4 linked regions of the Saccharomyces cerevisiae S288C genome follow. The gene in region 2 interacts genetically with the main gene of each other region. Each region holds a gene or a part of one and is shown on either strand. Other genes may lie near its edges. The genes, in order: YPS3, SCW10, SED1 and MRH1.

Region 1 (5,025 bases), on a different chromosome or scaffold from region 2:
ATACGTCTCGGTCATTTCACTTCCCCTCTGATTAATAGCCCAGCGGTTAGAATAGCCATTCGAACACAGAAAGCTTCCAATTTGATTATATGGTAGGACTTAAACTTCCCATATTAACGAGTCTTCTGAGCCAAGGGGAATTTAGGACGCTCAAAAGTTGGGTTAATTTGCTTATCTAGCGGTTTTGAAGAAGTACGGGCCATTTAAATGTAGGTTGACAGGAAACCAGCTTTCATCGGTTGGATGATAAAGTACAAATATCCAGAAGAAAACTGCTGTTGCCAAAAAAGTTTTGTTTGAAAAAAATAACACCACAATTTTGCTTCTTCGATGGCAAACTGATCAGAATCAAGAGACAAAGCTGCTGTGGTGGTGTTTTGTTAAACGTGTCTGTGAATGACTTCTTTCCGCTTGCGCACATTTTTCTACTGGCTCTCCTCACTAAATGTTAAGATTTCTGATATATGTGGACCACATTTCACCATTGTTGAAATGGACGGTATGATATGATTCGAATAAGACCTGGAATATGCACTCTAGCATACCAGGAGCTCTGGACATTGTATTCTTCTCATCTATTGTAAAACATCTCTCAATAGTAACGTATGAGTAATGATTCGGAATGGCATCTAGATTAGCAAATACTTGCTTGCTTGTTGAGGATAACCGTAAACTCGTCTGTTCTTAGTGCAAAAACCGTCCCAAAAGTAACAGACGGTAACTCATTCTACATTAACATTGGATGATATGTTGACAATAAATTCCGAGGGACAGCTCCGTTTCCTAGTGAATCTCGGTGGTTGTAATGAGGGTAAATCGCTGAGCATTTTTTTTTCTTCTCTTTACTACACCATTTAGAGTTCTCACTTTGTAAAATTCCGTCCTGATATGAGAATATATATCTCCACGAAGCAATACCAAGCACAAGAAAAACATAGCAATTTTTGCAAGGCCCGGTAACGCAAGATGTGATAACACGCTGCATCATTTTAATTAAGAGCGCGCCACTTCTCCAGATAGTGCTGTATTCATATATGTAAGTGCTCACACTTTCTGGGAACAGCGGAGTCATTAGAAGACTGGCTTCGCTGAAGTTGCTAGAACGAGCAAATTACAACATTATATTCAGCTTCAAGAAAAAACGCAGACAATGGACTCAGGATGATGAGAGGTTCCTTTGTACCACTAAGATCGACTCGTCCTAACCCTATATCCCAATCCCAAGACTAGGCGAACCAACATTAACTGGGCTCGTAATAGGGCAATGATAATGCAAAAGCGGCTCCTAAACAGAAATTCTTCAGTAGTCAAATCTCGAAATTGCCTTGCTCGTCATCAACATGAATCGTCTATATCAAAACTGCATGTTTCTCTACGTCTACACAGATGTTTGCGTCCGATTGTGCGCTTCGATTTTTTACATAATGCTGGAAGCAAAGTTTGCTCTCAGAATTCCTGCCCTTCGCCCCAGTTACACGTGGGGACAATGGCGCTCTTTCATACAGTCTTCATTCTATGGCCGCACTTTTGTGGCATTCTCTGGACCGTCCATGAAAAATTATATAACTATTTGCTTTCTATTGAAGTCTATTGAAGTTAGCGTGGATAGAACGGCGTTACATGGCACATCAGCTGAAGCTAGCGCAAGTAATTTTCAACGCATTCAAACGAAAAACTTATCTAAATACAATTGTAACATACCGGCTTGCTGTGTGTGAACCCCTTTCCCCAATTGTATATCAGAAACGTCTGAGTGGAGGGTGAGGAATCACTCACTACCTTTTCTCCATTCGACGCCTATAAGCAGCGTATTTTAAAGGAAAGGGGAATTAGTGCGGAGATGGGCCAGAAATGTACTCTTTTTTTGGCAGAGTTTTTCCGGGCGGGACAAAACAATGGCGTGGGGTGATGAAATAAGCAAAATTCAATATCCCTTATGACGGAATGGCAGAATTGGCCACCATTTTGTCTTGGCATTCAATATACATACAAATCTTCACTACCGCGATATTGTTGGTAATGGAGATTGCTTTTTGGCCTCCTGGCTTATAGGGCTCTGAGTCTCGTGGTAGTGGAATCCGGCACAGAAACGAGAATCGGATATTTGGGGCCGGGCCATGTACAGGCAAAAGAAATAGCGAAAATATCTCTTATTTTTTTCGCGCTTCCTTTGTAGTAGAAATTATTGGCGATCGGATTACTATTCGCGGAAAAGAAATTAAAAATAGCGAAGAACTTAGAACTATAAGCCTCAAAAGGAAACTTGTGTGGTCGAAGGCTGGACGCCATAATAATATATATATGTACGTATATATATTATATATGAATATCTGTAGCCGCTAACTTGTGTGTTTGTGAATTTATATAGGATAAATAGAGCAAAATTACTCGGCATTGAAAAATGAAACTTCAATTGGCGGCAGTGGCTACATTAGCAGTCTTAACTAGTCCGGCATTCGGTAGAGTACTTCCCGATGGGAAATACGTCAAGATTCCCTTCACAAAAAAAAAGAACGGCGACAATGGTGAACTCAGCAAGAGATCGAACGGCCATGAAAAATTTGTACTAGCTAACGAGCAAAGCTTTTATTCTGTTGAGCTAGCCATTGGTACACCTTCACAAAACCTCACTGTGCTGTTAGACACAGGCTCAGCTGACTTATGGGTTCCTGGCAAGGGAAACCCCTACTGCGGTTCTGTGATGGACTGTGACCAGTATGGCGTGTTCGACAAGACCAAGTCGTCCACGTTCAAAGCCAACAAGTCCTCGCCTTTTTATGCCGCTTACGGTGACGGAACCTATGCAGAAGGTGCATTTGGTCAAGATAAATTAAAGTACAACGAATTAGACCTCAGTGGTCTATCGTTTGCCGTGGCCAACGAATCTAACTCAACCTTTGGTGTGCTCGGGATCGGCCTTTCCACGCTTGAAGTCACCTATTCTGGAAAAGTCGCTATTATGGACAAGAGAAGCTACGAGTATGATAACTTTCCCCTGTTCCTAAAACATTCTGGAGCCATCGATGCAACCGCATACTCTCTTTTCCTAAATGACGAGTCACAGTCCTCCGGCAGCATCCTCTTCGGCGCTGTAGATCACAGCAAGTACGAGGGCCAACTGTACACTATCCCGTTGGTTAATCTTTATAAGTCGCAGGGTTATCAGCACCCGGTGGCGTTCGATGTCACTTTACAGGGCTTAGGACTGCAAACCGACAAGCGCAACATCACATTGACCACCACCAAGCTCCCAGCCCTACTCGATTCAGGCACAACGCTAACATATCTGCCCTCCCAGGCAGTGGCTTTGCTAGCAAAGAGCTTGAATGCCTCGTATTCCAAGACATTGGGTTATTATGAGTACACGTGTCCCTCGAGCGACAACAAAACCAGCGTGGCCTTCGACTTCGGTGGCTTCCGTATCAACGCTCCTCTATCCGACTTTACTATGCAGACCAGTGTGGGGACCTGTGTCTTGGCAATAATTCCACAAGCGGGCAACGCCACCGCTATCCTTGGTGATTCCTTCTTGAGAAACGCCTACGTGGTCTACGATTTGGATAACTACGAGATTTCCCTAGCTCAAGCCAAGTATGGCACGGGGAAAGAGAACGTCGAAGTCATCAAATCTACCGTTCCCAGTGCAATAAGGGCCCCCAGTTACAACAACACTTGGTCTAACTACGCCTCCGCCACGTCCGGTGGTAATATTTTTACCACCGTGCGCACTTTCAATGGCACCAGTACTGCCACCACTACGAGGTCAACCACCACCAAGAAGACAAACTCTACCACTACTGCAAAGTCGACTCATAAAAGCAAGAGGGCACTCCAGAGGGCTGCTACCAACTCCGCTTCCAGTATACGCTCTACCTTGGGTTTACTGCTAGTCCCCTCCTTACTCATCCTTTCCGTTTTCTTTTCGTAAAAAAAAACAATAGACACTATATATAGACACTTTTTCCTTTCCTTCTTTGCGCGATTTCAAGAGGAAAAGCATACTTAAATAAGAATATTCCTAAAACACACGTTCTGACGCGTCAATTAGATCGTCAGACCTTGCATGCAGCCAAGACACCCTCACATAGCACTGCCTCCTTCCTCCTCTTTTCTGTCACCACCTCACCTCCCTCGTCCACTCAACTGAGTGGCTTTTCGCTCCTTTTATACTGCGCCATGAGTAGTTTTCGTTTCACTGATGTGTCCGAAAAAATTGAGGTTTCATAAAAAAATTCGTGGACTTATTTATGGAGAAACAGGGAAATCCGACTACTTAAGAAAAGGGTGTCAAAGAGGATTTACTTTTTTCCTTCTTTTTGCATTTGTTCCTATTTCCGCAATTGGACGGTTATTAAGAAGAACGCAATTGGCTTTTCTGTATATTAAAATACATAGCGTAATAAAAAGATAAGGTGAACACCAAGCATATAGTATAATATTACCTACCACATATGAAACTGAAAACTGTAAGATCTGCGGTCCTTTCGTCACTCTTTGCATCGCAGGTTCTCGGTAAGATAATACCAGCAGCAAACAAGCGCGACGACGACTCGAATTCCAAGTTCGTCAAGTTGCCCTTTCATAAGCTTTACGGGGACTCGCTAGAAAATGTGGGAAGCGACAAAAAACCGGAAGTACGCCTATTGAAGAGGGCTGACGGTTATGAAGAAATTATAATTACCAACCAGCAAAGTTTCTATTCGGTGGACTTGGAAGTGGGCACGCCACCACAGAACGTAACGGTCCTGGTGGACACAGGCTCCTCTGATCTATGGATTATGGGCTCGGATAATCCATACTGTTCTTCGAACAGTATGGGTAGTAGCCGGAGACGTGTTATTGACAAACGTGATGATTCGTCAAGCGGCGGATCTTTGATTAATGATATAAACCCATTTGGCTGGTTGACGGGAACGGGCAGTGCCATTGGCCCCACTGCTACGGGCTTAGGAGGCGGTTCAGGTACGGCAACTCAATCCGTGCCTGCTTCGGAAGCCACCATGGACTGTCAACAATACGGGACAT
Region 2 (5,063 bases):
GCAACTTCCGGGACTCAGTATGGTCAGAAAGCGGGCTAGACCTTGGATCGTACAGAGCATCCGGAATTTCCAATCTATCTTCATCATGACTGCTCTCTGCCTCTTTCAAAAAGCTCTTTTCCATGCTTAGTAGTTTGGTATCCTTAACAAAACATTCCCATTCTGTAGGGTGTAGATGCTTCAAATACTCAAGCACCGTGATTTTACTTTTAGGAGATTCTTCCCTGATAATTTCCTTCAAGCCCAACAGAATCTTTTCTGAATAATGGGGTACCAAAACGGTAAAAGTTGGCATACAATCCACTGGAACAGGTTCTGAAATGGGGGTCGCCAGGGATTGGGCAAAAAAGGATATCCTTCTTTTTGCCTCTGAATTTGATGGAAAAAATTCCATTGACTTGAACGTTGAATCATCTTGTGCAACGAAAAATGTAGGCGATTTCAGGGTTCTTGTGTCTCCCATTAAGGAGTCAACTTGCTGAAACAAGAGTCTTTGTAAATGTTCAATGGAGAGAAGATGTTCCCTATACATTGATATAACAATGGCATTCCAAACCTGCGATATCAGTATTTTTGCTTTAAATTTTACATCCATCTCTGAAGTAGCAAGGATTTTGGAATATATCCTTTTTGGCAATCGAGAGTATACATTCTTCCATGGCGTGAGAATTGAAGTACCAAGAGAAAATGACAGTACAATGGAAAAAATACAGTTGCAAATAATGTACCAAAGGTAAGTGTCGAGAAAAAACAGGCCCAAGTCAGAAAGCAGCATGAGAACTAATGTAATTTTGGCTTGCCATTTACATAGAATAGGACCCAACAAATATTCACCTTGACATCTGGACAAATCCATAATAGAGAGGACCCTGATGGGGTCCCTGAGGGACAAGGTCAAAAAAAAATAGGACTCAATATATTTCGCCAAATACACAAATACCCATAACCCATAAGAAAACCATTTGCTGCGTCCTGTCAGCTTAGGAAATGAAGCGGTAAAGGTTTGCGATGAGATGTACCTCCGATGTTTTTTGTCTTTATTCAAATATGGACGAAATAAGCCGCCCAAAGGTCTGACAGCAAAAAAAAAAGTGGTTAAAAATGCAATGATTAGTTGGACGATGGACACGATATACGCAGATTTTGAATGAACATCCCATTCGAAAAACCCCAGAACATACACGGAAGGTCCCAAATTGATTGCAAGACAAAAAAGTAAGCCAATCATTCTACTCGATAAATGCTGAGCGCCTGGCCATTCTCGAGGTACAAATCCCCACTCGAACACGGTGGCTAAAATTTGAACTAAACATGCAATTGTGCCTCCAAAGGCAATCACTGATAGTCTAACTTGGGGTGTAGGCTGGTTATTCAATAACTGTATATAATTCTTGGTGTACAAAGTGGGGGAATTAAATGTGGTGAAGAACCAAAACGGTGCAAAATGGATAATCCAGAATCTATTGAAATTGGTAAAACAATGCTTCCAACTTCTGGTTTCTCTATATGTCTTATAAAATACTTTAGACCATGCAACGTCTTTAAAGTAAAGATATCTCTCCTCCAATGGCTTGTCAACTAATCGTTCTCCATTGTTTAAAATAATACGTTCAAATCCTTCCGGGTACCAAAATAATTGATTGATGTCGTCGTAACCAATAATATTCTTGTGGTCTTTTTCTCTTCGTTTCCAGTTCCCCTTTGCGTCTTTTTTGTATACTTGGCCCCTTAGGAATTCGTATAAGGGAGTAATAACGTCATTTAAGTATGAATACTCAGGTGATTTCACCGTTTTTTCGCTACTTGACGTACTAATATCATAATCAAGTGCACATTTGAAAATAAAGCAAAGGCATTCTGGGGCGAATCTGACTTGATTGGCTTCACCCCAGCAAAGCAAATAAAGGGCCAGCTGTCTTATCATATTTTCGGGCGTCAATTTTTTCATTTTCAATTTCCATTTGTAGTCTGCACTTTTCAAGTTTGTCTGATCTTCCAATTGTTCTTGAGTCAGTGTGATCTTTGGATGGTTATTGATGAACTCTTGCTCCTTCTCATTCCATTGCTTAATTTGTTCCTTTATCGATACGCCTCTTTTCTTCGCCATTTTTACGTTTCTTTGGCGTGCCTTTCCATGTAGTCGCATGTTTTGAAACCCGATCTCTTCATCTAAATCGAGCTGAGCGGCAAAATACCATTTTCTATAATTTGCGTGTTCGCCTCCAATATATGAAACATGTAGCGATACTAAAGCATTTTGAGCACCTGTACGACTTGCCCTGGAGTCCAGCTGTCCCATTAAATGTTGATACATATTTTCCATAGAAGATTTCTGGAAGCCAAACTTATCCATGAGCTCCACAAAAATTTCTCTAATTTCCTGCATTGTTATTGGGACTTCATCGTCTTGGCACCAAGCAGGATACTCAACGTCAGTTAGCGAAAACTTGGGACTCATAAAATCCATATTCAACTCCTTAACTTTCCTTCTCAGTATGTTTTTCTTTTCCCAATATGCAGTTCCACAGCCCTTAATGATTAAGTTGTATAGTGGCAAATCCTAGAAGGCATAATTACTTTTGAAGGTTCTCGCCAAATAGCCGCTGACCATGTAAAACTCTTACCCGCATAATTTAACCATCATTGCCGCACTAGGCAAGATGGTCCGATCTTGATGGGCGAGAATGATTAGTTCAGAGACGTGCAACAGCCATATACGAAAGCTGTCTCGGCCTTCACTTATGCTGATACCAGGCACGGTAATAATTAAGAAAGAATGCCTCCCTCTTTCTTTTTCTCAGGCAAGACATCTAGATTTTCTTTTTATCTAAGCCCTCAATGACAAAAATATTTGTTCCTTACATATCCCCAGAGATCTTCGGTCTAGATTTCGCGAAAGACCGTTTGCAGTAATTTACCTTTTTCGGAAAAGTCCTCGAAGATTTCGGACGAAGTAAAACCTGAAGAGAAAAATGCCAAGACTTTTAATTGCGCGAAACAGCGGACAAAAAATTCGCGTTGAAACGTTTGAATATGGTAACAAACGTCGCACGCGTTTGAAAGTTATTCGTGTTTTCATGTGTACAGTAACTTCTCCATCGAGAGCCGTATCCATAAGCCTTCTTTTCCACGTTTGTTTCAAAACTGTAGTATTTATAATGGAGGGAAAGATGTCTGCGTGAAGTTTGTCTTACAGTGTATCTTTGAAGCGTGCATCATATTTTTCCCATTTTAAATTCATCTATTATATAGGCCCAAATAAAAGAGTTAAATACTATACTTTTGCAATATTGAGCTGAACATCCAACTGTCACGTCTCTCCTTTACTATTACTGTTCTTTTTTTCAAATTGTCAAAAGATAGTATTAACGCAAAAAAAGTCTTCATTCCATTATGCGTTTTTCAAATTTCCTAACTGTATCTGCATTATTAACCGGAGCTCTAGGAGCTCCTGCTGTTCGCCATAAACATGAAAAGCGTGACGTTGTTACTGCCACAGTCCATGCGCAGGTTACTGTTGTCGTTTCCGGTAACAGCGGCGAAACTATTGTTCCAGTGAACGAGAATGCTGTTGTAGCTACTACCAGCAGTACTGCAGTTGCTTCTCAAGCAACTACATCCACTTTAGAACCAACAACTTCCGCTAATGTCGTCACTTCTCAACAACAAACCAGCACTCTTCAATCTTCCGAGGCAGCATCTACGGTTGGTTCTTCGACTTCATCCTCACCCTCATCCTCATCCTCAACTTCATCTTCAGCTTCATCCTCCGCTTCATCTAGTATCTCAGCCTCCGGTGCTAAGGGTATTACTTACAGTCCTTACAATGATGATGGGTCCTGTAAATCTACTGCTCAAGTCGCCTCAGATTTAGAACAGTTGACTGGTTTTGACAACATCAGATTATATGGCGTTGACTGTAGTCAGGTTGAGAATGTCTTGCAAGCTAAAACTTCAAGCCAGAAATTATTCTTAGGCATATATTACGTTGACAAAATTCAAGACGCCGTTGATACTATTAAATCTGCAGTTGAGTCTTATGGCTCCTGGGATGATATTACCACTGTTTCTGTCGGTAACGAACTGGTCAATGGCGGTTCTGCCACTACGACGCAAGTCGGTGAATACGTTTCCACGGCCAAGTCAGCTTTAACCTCTGCTGGTTATACAGGCTCAGTCGTTTCCGTTGATACCTTCATTGCTGTTATAAATAACCCTGACCTGTGTAATTATTCTGACTATATGGCTGTCAACGCCCATGCATACTTCGATGAAAATACTGCGGCCCAAGATGCAGGACCATGGGTACTAGAACAAATCGAAAGGGTTTACACTGCTTGTGGTGGGAAAAAGGACGTCGTTATTACCGAAACTGGTTGGCCATCTAAGGGTGATACTTACGGCGAAGCTGTCCCATCTAAAGCAAACCAAGAAGCCGCCATTTCTTCTATCAAAAGCTCCTGCGGCTCTTCAGCTTACTTATTTACCGCCTTCAATGATCTATGGAAAGATGATGGGCAATACGGTGTTGAAAAATACTGGGGTATTCTATCAAGTGATTAAACCACTGAAACTTCATTTACTTTATGATCATTCTTTTTCCCTTTTTCTTAAAAAGCAGCCAAATATGGGGGAAATAAGCCCTTTCCCATATTTGCTCTCCTATTCTTATCACGTTATTGTTTACTTATGTGTTTTGTGTAAAGTATATATTCTATACTCATTTGTGAAAGATTTTTCAATTTGTCTTCCTTTTAGCTACGGGTCCTCGCTGCTCTATAGTTTGTGTTCTAACTTATATATATATATATATGCGGCATTACCTAAAAGCAAAATAAAACTGTAGAGCATTGCCTGTGTGGAAGTGATGGCGGCTGAGAGATTATCATAAAAAAACATAAAAAAAATGGAGAAAACATCAAAGCTAAACATAGTCGTAAGACGTATCAGTTTTTAATGATCATTGGTCTATCATAGGAAGAATGCGATCTCAATCTATCCGGATGATCCATGTAGATATAATCTAAGTTGGACATAATGTCATACAATATAACTTTGTCCAA
Region 3 (4,612 bases), on a different chromosome or scaffold from region 2:
ATCTTCCATAAATGTGCTGAAGTTTTTCACTGTGAACTCGAATAAAGTTTTCGTTATAGCAATAGATAATATCGACGAGTGGTTAAACTTGCACATCAACATAGTTGAGTAAGAGGTGAAGAAAAGTACACCGCTTCCGGTATATATCGCCTCCTGATTAAGAGATCAATGGAGAGCACATTAATAAGTTTGTATTAAAGAATTAAGAACTAAAAATAGTGTATATGATGATTATATAAGAATTATTAAACTACCCCTATTGCTTTTAGAAAACCCTGTCTTGAATGAGAGGATGTTTTACACGCAACGCGTAAGAAACATCTTTAAAGAGACTAGACATGAAACGATACTGCTCAGGGCAATTTAGGGGCTTTCCCACAAAGATGGTGGTATAACGGGGCTAGTCTGTCAAAAAGCCTAGAAGTGAAAAACGAATAACAAAAAAATAACATAATACTGAAAGAAAGCATTAAGAAGGCGGATGTGTCAAACACCACCGTTTATAAGAATAACATAGCAACACCAGCCAAACCTAAAGCACCTGGAACGACGACGTTAGCACCGTTACTGTTGATGACAACGGAATGAGAAGAAGCAGAGGATGAAACTGGGACGACTGTGGAGACGGTTAGACTTGGGTTGGCTGTGGTTTGTTTGGTAGTAACACCTGTTTCTTTGGTGGTAGTGCCCTTAGATTCGGTAACTGGGACAGAAGACTCAGGGGCTTCGCTCTTTTCAATAGTACATGGACAGTCAGTGATAGTCAAAGTGGTTGGTTCAGTGACGGTGTAAGTCTTACCGTTTGTGGTGAAAGTGGTTGGTTCTGGACAGTAAGTAGTGTACTCAGTGACTACAGTGTATTCGGTGGTTGATGTGGTTGTTGGCTTTTCAATGGTGCATGGACAGTCAGTGATAGTCAATGTGGTTGGTTCAGTGACGGTGTAAGTCTTACCGTTTGTGGTGAAAGTGGTTGGTTCTGGACAGTAAGTAGTATATTCAGTGACTACAGTGTAGTCAGTGGTGTAGTCAGTAGATGGGTTGTAAGGAGGAGTGGTGGTAGTGTTGCTTGGTGGCAAAGATGTAGTTGGTGGGAAAGCTGAAGTGGTACCGTTGGTTGGAAGACCGGTGGTTGGAGCTTCAGTAGTAGTATCAGTTGGAGCTTCAGTAGAAGTACCGTTAGTTGGAAGAGCGGTGGTTGGAGCTTCAGTAGTAGTATCAGTTGGAGCTTCAGTAGAGGTACCGTTAGTTGGGATAGCAGTGGTTGGAGCTTCAGTAGAGGTACCGTTAGTTGGGATAGCAGTGGTTGGAGCCTCTGTTGAGGTTTCAGTTGGTGCAGCTGTGCTGGTACCGTTGTCGGATTCTGGAGCTTCAGAAGATGTGATAGTTACTGAGCCAGAGGAAGTGGAGATGGAAGAGGAGGAAGTGACATCGGTGGAAGAAGCAGATGTACTGTTGGAAAATTGGGCCAAAGTAGTCGAGGCTAAACCGGCAGATAATAGGACAGTTGATAATTTCATCTTAATAGAGCGAACGTATTTTATTTTGCTTGTCTTTGTAGTTACGACTATAAATCAATAATTACAAGAGAATAGAAAAAGAGAGGTGAGATAATACGATAATGGAGAATAAAATAGGTCAGGTATTTATATGACAGTTCAAAAGAGGGCAGAGCAATGTTCCTTACTCTAGTTCTACCCCAGCCCCTACGGCCAATCTAAAAATAATGCGACTGGGAGCCATACCGTACTAATTCATTTTACCGTAGTAAAATGGATGAAAAACTGCTTAAAGGCTTTTTGTCTTATTTTTAGAAATTAGTGGACAAAAAATCATTTTCAATCAAAAATACACAAGAATGGAAAGAGATGACATCGAGAAGGGATGGATCTTTAGCCAAATAAAGTAATCAATGACCGTGTGTGCTCTGGCGCGCTGGGCCCTCTCCTCTTTCGTAATGAAAATATAATAACAATAACGGTTCTGATGGCTAATTTTAGCGATATATGCCTTTTTGTCCTCGAAAGAAGGCCGCATGACGTGGAGCAATCAGTGGTGTATGGAAGGTAGACCTCGGGGCTAAGCTTTCTCGGGGAGACGGTGCCGTCTGGGAGATAATTCCAACCAATATTACTGCTTTAGGTCATCCACCACGGGTAGTGTTGAGGATTACCTTTTTCGGTCTACGCAATATTATCCATTGACAGTTTGGCGTACCGTACAAAAAGCCGCTGCTGCAGGTTGTACTTCAACTTTAAGTCGCCGCGTTGCAAGTACATTGTGAAAAGATACTGCCTTACGTTAATTTTCTATATCCAATTGGGGAATATGCATGTCCGAATCTGGCAGATGCATGGATCGTTGAATAGTATTTCCAATTCCGTGTAAGCTGTTGCTTACATTAATCCTATAAGGGTAATGGGTGTGCTTGAGGGGATGTGTACATACCACTTTAGGTTCGAGCTGCATACCCCAATATGGAAAAACGTATTCACCTTAACTCCAACAGATTAAAATCCTAAATAGGTAAAATTACCCTTAACTTTTCTTTGTAGTTGTTGGGTGGAATGTTGTCGTTTTTCCATTTTTTATTGTTTTCGGTTTTCGGTTTTTTTATTTTACTATTAACCTTCACTATCATAAATTATCTCCTCCTTTCCCTCCGCATTTGGTAATGGATTATCATTGGAGTCAATATTGTTAAACACTTGTGAGCAACTGCTGCTGCTTGTTGATAATGTTGGAAATGAGGCAATATTAGCAGTATCAGGTTTCAGATCAATTATATCGCGGAGTTGACCTGTTGCTTTATCAAAATCAAATTTGACAATATAGTTACGATCGTCGCTGCTTCTTGACCGCTTTAAATTTCGTCCTTCTCTTTTTCTATCTTCGCCGTGTAAATTAAAAACAATAGCTATTCTCAAGTTTTCAAAGTTTCGTTTGTTTATTCTCATTTCTTTGATGGTAGTACATCCCTCGTTACTCTGCGAGGATGACGCCTTCACTCTTTTGCTTTTCACGAAAACGGTTTCGTCCACTTGTTCATTCCAATCCCTAAAAAGGCCGATCCTGTCTCTTAGAAATACTTCCCAAGTGGAATCCTTGCTTCCCATAGCGATATTGGCAACGAGCGCGCTTTTCAATATATGTACATTGTTCTTACGCCTTTCGTTGTTAGAGTTGACAAAGAAGTTAGATCCGTCGTCTAAAATTTCGTAGTATTCTTCCAAGGATTCGAATTCGTTTGATTGGAAGGCGGTGTTCATACAGTCATTTAAAACTATTATTGTCGAACCCGTGGAATGTGTGTATTTGGTCATTACCGTAAAAATTAATATCAAATGTCGACATTTTAACTCGTGTATAGTTTTATCTATCATTCCGCCGCCTCTTTTACTTAGTGTACACAGATGATCGCAGACTAATTGAGAAAATCCATCAATTATAACTAGTTTATATCGCACACTTTGAGATAATTTGAACAAATTCTGGAAGAAATATAATAGCTGTCCAAATTTCGTTATTCGGACCCGCTTCACATTTTCTTCCACGATTTTAAATTTTTGAAAGCGTTCTCTTAGTATGTTTATGGGCATTTCTTGAAATGTTTCTATCCATAGAATTTTATCGTCGTTTATTTCCGATTGTTGTATGCCTTCTAACGAATTACACACCAATTGAATGCCAAAATTAGTCTTGCCAATGCCCGGAGGCCCAAATATTTCGTAGATCGACCTTGCCTGGAATCCCAGGTTTAATATCTCATCTAATCCTGTGATGCCGCTACTTAATGGCTTTGGACTTTCTACTATTAATTGGGAAAGTGGTATACCAAGCGACATATTTTCATATTATATATTATTAATAAGTTCTTTTCCTTATCTAAAAGCTTTCCTTAATGTACTTGACATCTTTGATAGCGGAGCTTATTATTAGTTAGTCATGCTACTATGTATTTTTTTCTATTTTTCATATCAAACGCGATGAGAAGAGAACACGTGAAGAACTTAGGGGACCTCCGCATCTATAACATATTCTACTGAAGAAAAAAAGGAATAAAAAATAAAAGAAGAAACGGTAGCTGGGTATATATTAGTATTCAAAAGCCATATTGTTAATTAGCTAAGATGTGAAAAGAAGTATGTAATATTACAATTTTTTTTCCTTTATTGCATTATGAAGAAAAAAAGAAAAATGCACTTGACAATTAGAGTGCCTGTTAAAAATTTATAAGAAATAGTCCATTTGAGATTTTTTGGTTGGAATTATAGCATTTCCGACTTCATTTTGTGCCTGAACAGCTTCAAAAATTGTATATTCACGATTCAAATCGTCGTCTATCTTCAATACAGCTGCTACATTACCACAACGATAACAGTAATTCGGTGCCGACCAGACTGTCACTAATCCACCGTCGAACATTTCTTTGTAACCTTCCATCACTAACTGATGAGCTCTAGCAATTAACTCAACGTTGTTTTTCTCTAAGAATTGATCAACTTCTCTTTTACCGAAAAGAAATCCAGCACCTCTTGGTGATAATGACCATGTGTCAACGTCTTCGGGGTCGCTCCATAATAAGTCACACATAGCACCTTCATGTGGAACTTCT
Region 4 (4,560 bases), on a different chromosome or scaffold from region 2:
ACTTAACGTTGCAAAATGTTGGTTTAAAGTTATGGAAACATTCGCCAGTATAAGTACGGTATTTGGCGGATCTTTAATTGATAATAATGACCTTGATGCAATTTTTGATCCATATGATTACCAATATGTTGACTCGTTAAAATTTTTAAATATTATGACTCCACTAAATGAGTTTAATCTTTTAAGAGGACATAAAGAAGATTTCGATCTTGTTATTAAAGAAGTTTTCAAATCACTCAATACAATTAGGTCAACTGAAAAAAATTACTTTTCTAAAGAAGAAGGTTTGTTCACTAAGAAATTAGACTATCTGCTTTTATCATCCCAAACTTCGTCCGAAAAGTCCAAAGACCAGATATCATATTTCAATACGCAGAAAATTCTAGTGGAAATTGACAAGCAATTAGATTACGAATTTATTGACAAATCTGGAATTATACCCTCAGACAATCAGTCACACCCTAGAATTAGTAATATTCATGATAATGCCATCGATATGGTGACATTAAAGAACGGTGAAGAAGTTGCCATCAGCTGGTATGATATTTCTCATCAGACACAAGTTTTATCTTTCTTATTAATTGTATTATTAAAACTTTTAGGTATGCCAAAAGAGTCAAGTACCATTCAACAAGTGGTCAAGAAAATCATGTCTTTCTTCAAATTCTTAGACAGTGACTCGCCGCCACAAAATTCAAGGACTTGTTATAGTAATTTTGCTGTATTGATTGCAGGTTTGAATGCAATGGACGAGGAAACAAGAGCGATTGTTAAAAGATATTATAAAATCAATGGTGGAAAATTTCAAAAGCTCACAGAACATAATCTTAACAGACTGGAAAAGGTCTGGTATGGTAAAAATCAAAATTACAGGTTAGAAGAACAAGACGTTTTAACATGGTAGTTTGTCTGTTTACGTAATAATTTTGCCTGTAGATTGATATAAAATTGTGTACGGATAATTGCACTGGCACGTCAAAAGTCCGAGAACTATTTTTCTCGAGAATGCCGCGCAAAGCAGGCACCGTGCCTTTATCTTTCTTTTTTTTCCTCCAGCACTAAACCTTCCATAACAATACTATTAGAAAGGTTGTTATCAAATATTAAAATAACTATTAAAGTGATACAAATATATATATAGATGACGATGGGCATAAAAAAGCTCGTTTCTAATCATCAACTATACGTTTCTTGATCAAAATGCACTGAGCAAAATATTGTTATGAAAACATACTTGCTTGACGAAATGGATTAAATGGATCCATTAAATTAAAAAATGAGTCTAGAATTGCACTTTATGATAGAAAATAAAAATTCGACAAGAAATGGTGATAATTTAACGAACGAAAATATTGAAACGTCAGGAAAATAAAATAAAATATGATAAAAGTTGAAGATGGAGTAAAATAATCTTGTCAAATAATCAATAAAGACAGTTTTATCCATTTATAGGATTGGCTTGAAGTAGAAAATTCTTCAAAGATGATTGAAAGAAAGAAGAAAGTAGCACATAATTGACATGACGATTGGCTTATTCTTCAGACTTCTTAGACTTCTTAGATTTCTTGCTCTTCTTAGACTTCTTTTTCTTGTCCTTACTCAAGTTTGGTGTAGCAGCAGGTCTTGGACTAGCAACTGGAGCTTTTGGAGCCATCACTGCTTCGGCATCACTAGGTCCGAAATGGTAGCCCAATTTGTCAGCACCGAAGTGGTTAGCAATTGGAACCAATAAAGTTGGAATGAAACACATCAAAATAAGATCAATGATACCATAGAAAATACCGGCAGAGTCTGGCTGCAAAACGTTACCACCATCGGTAATACCGAAACAAGTTGGGTAAGCAATAATCCACAAGAACATAATAATGCTGAAGAAAACAAGGAATGTCAACCTGATATCGTTATCTCTTTGTTTCACCAAGTTGTAACTGGTGGTCATAACACTGATACTAACGACAATAGCAGCACCTAGACCGATGGTGTAGTAACCCCATTTGTAAGTGGAGTGAACACAGGCAGCGATCAACCAACAAACAGTGAAGAATTCAGTAATACAAACATTGAAAGCCATTTGCCAGAATGGGGTACCAGCTAGCATACAGATTTGAATAATTGGCCATGGCAAAGCTAAGAACCAACCAACGAATCTAGAGTAGAAGATTTGTCTGTAACCTGGATGTTCTTTTTGAGTAGAAGTTTGGACATGGTTGTACTTAGCCTTGACTGGAATCCAACCTAAGTTAGAAGCCATGGTGAAATAAGCGATACACATGAAAAAGTTTGGAGCAATACCGGTAAGGTAAAAGAATCTGTCATTGACTGGTTTTCTGAACATTAAGAATGTTAAAATTAAACCAAATAATAGGTAACAACAGAAACATGTCCAGAACCAATCGGAACCACGACTAGTGATGTGGAAATCCGCACCGGTTGGAGGGTTAATTTTGATGGCTTCGTTACCACCTCTTTTAATTAAAGTTTCAAAGGTAGACATTGTTATTTTTCTTCTTTGTTCTGTGGGTTAAAGGAAGATGATTAGATATTAAGTGAAATTAGGTATTAGTTAAAATTAAAGCAAAAAATTAATGTTAAAATAGGGTCAAAAAATTGGATGTAGAGAAAGAAAAAGTTATTGAAATAATAATATTTTTGTTCGAGGAAACTTTTTTTTTTTCTGAGTTTCTTTTATTATTCTTTTTCTTCGCAATGTTTCTTAACAATAAGGACAAAAGATAGTGACAACGATCTAAGAATTAAAATAAGCTTAATAATAAATAAAAAGAAGAACTTGAAAAGGGAAAAAGAAGAAATAACGAGAAGTGGGAAAGAAATAAGGATATATCTTAAGTTACCGAAAAAGACACTACTTATAAATGAAGAAACCAGGTGAAGAGATCCTTTGTTTTACGAAGACCGTATTTATACATTTCCCTTCATGTACATGTGTGATAAATTGGAAAACCACTTCTGGAATTAAACTGCTTTTTCTGACATCCTTGTGCAGTCGTTACTGCGATTATTTACATCTTTACTGATTCGTATGAGTGTTTATTTCCATTTTGCCTTTTTTGTCCAGGAAAACTAGAGATGCCGATTTTCGGTTAACAAAAAAAGTCCTGGTGAGGGAAAAAAAACGCTATTTTTTTTGCTCACCGCACTAAGAACTAGCCGGAGAAGACTAAGCTAGGAAAGGGATGGAACAGATGACGACGAAGAAGATTAAGTAAAAAAGGTAAAGGGAGACGAGATGGTGACAAGTATCTCTTTTTTTTATTGCCTTTTTCATATTACCTATTACCGCAAACTGATATATTTCTCAAAGGAGAAATAGTAAAGTGGAAGAGGTTTGGGTCTCTTGGTAACCGGACTACATTTGCAAGTTGCATCTTCCATCGAAGTATTAATTCCCTCCATCCTCTTCTCACTAACACCGGCACGATTTTAAAAATTTTTCAACTCCGTTGTTGAATTACGTATTCCTCTTTATGGTAAGCGCTAAGATGAACAGCGCTGAAAAGCAAAATTTGAATGCTTGAAATTCAGAACATGACTATTCGTTCAGTACTCGCTTCATTTGCATCCTTAGTTAATTTGGCCTGAATTACTTTTTGAATTCAAGAGATAGTGCATAAAATGCGGCCCCCCTTTCCAGCTTCCATAAATTGCGCTGATTGCATGTCTGACTAAGCTTTTTTTTTTTTTTAAGCGACCTTGTCTCGAGGAGCATAATAAAAAAAAGGGAGTAAGGTCGGCGGCAGTCGCTTTTATTAAACTGAAGTAAAACAGAACAAAAATTACTTAAGGGTCGCTAATATTACCCTTATCCTCTCAACAAAAGATAAGAAATTAATTGACCTATACCTATAATACCTAATAAACCCAAAAGTGTCTTGCTCTGATGTATTTGTTTTTTTTAACACAACCTTGCTACCTTAGGCCATCGAGAAGAGATTGAGGTCAAAGTGGAAGCGTTGGAAAAGAAGGAAGACCCATAGTATAATGAAGCTAGTTACCATCCTTAGACGACGCCCATATTTTTCAATTTCTCTTATTTTTTTTTTACGCAGCGTAGCAGTTATGGACAAAAGCCGGCCTGAAACAAGATTGAGATTAAATGAAAGGGCGTCTGCTTGTATATGAACTCAGTCGTCCACTCTTTTTAAAGTACTCTACTTATATAAAAAAAAAAGATAGGGATTTACAATGTTAATTATTACACGCAGCATCTAGCGTATGATTGTATGTCCCGAATGCCCCGTTATTACCCAATAAAGCAAATTAATACGGTCTTTTTATAAAGCTGTGCTTCTTTTTCGGGGTAGTTTTTCCGTGAAACCCGTAGATGGGAACAAGAAGAGCAAAAAACCCTTTTTTTTAAATAATCCGAGAGTTTGACAACTTGTAAAAAAAAGCGCAAATGTCGGCGCGCCAAGTTGAAAAGTCGCTCAGAGAAATGAGAGGTAATACCGCGTTCCCAAAACAAATAAACAAACAGAGCAGCCAATCTGCGTGGAAAGTAAACCAAAAAAGCAGAATCACTTGAATCAGGCGGTTTTCTTC

The links.
Region 1: of SCW10 (region 2) and YPS3, changing one enhances a phenotype caused by changing the other (phenotypic enhancement), as found in Saccharomyces cerevisiae (one study listed by BioGRID).
Region 3: of SCW10 (region 2) and SED1, changing one enhances a phenotype caused by changing the other (phenotypic enhancement), as found in Saccharomyces cerevisiae (one study listed by BioGRID).
Region 4: mutations in SCW10 (region 2) and MRH1 together harm fitness less than expected from each alone (positive genetic interaction), as found in Saccharomyces cerevisiae (2 studies listed by BioGRID).

The regions. Positions count from the first base shown.
Region 1 is NC_001144.5:387,647-392,671, reverse strand, and holds YPS3 (aspartyl protease), read left to right. Parts: upstream 1-2,401; coding exon 2,402-3,928; downstream 3,929-5,025. Other genes in the region: YLR122C (uncharacterized protein), read left to right, coding at 1,341-1,718; YPS1 (aspartyl protease), read left to right, coding at 4,452-5,025. UniProt on the Saccharomyces cerevisiae protein: Cleaves proteins C-terminally to mono- and paired-basic residues. Required for cell wall integrity.
Region 2 is NC_001145.3:878,563-883,625, reverse strand, and holds SCW10 (putative family 17 glucosidase), read left to right. Parts: upstream 1-3,393; coding exon 3,394-4,563; downstream 4,564-5,063. Other genes in the region: FKS3 (putative 1,3-beta-D-glucan synthase), read right to left, coding at 1-2,467; ubiquitin-specific protease UBP15, read right to left, coding at 4,947-5,063. UniProt on the Saccharomyces cerevisiae protein: Glucanases possibly play a role in cell expansion during growth, in cell-cell fusion during mating, and in spore release during sporulation.
Region 3 is NC_001136.10:597,698-602,309, reverse strand, and holds SED1 (Sed1p), read right to left. Parts: upstream 1,518-4,612; coding exon 501-1,517; downstream 1-500. Other genes in the region: SHU2 (Shu2p), read left to right, coding at 1-112; putative DNA-dependent ATPase RAD55, read right to left, coding at 2,622-3,842; phosphoprotein phosphatase PP4 catalytic subunit PPH3, read right to left, coding at 4,228-4,612. UniProt on the Saccharomyces cerevisiae protein: Component of the cell wall. Major cell wall protein in stationary phase cells. Required to stabilize the cell wall in the absence of multiple GPI-anchored mannoproteins.
Region 4 is NC_001136.10:506,081-510,640, reverse strand, and holds MRH1 (Mrh1p), read right to left. Parts: upstream 2,495-4,560; coding exon 1,532-2,494; downstream 1-1,531. Other genes in the region: LYS14 (Lys14p), read left to right, coding at 1-904.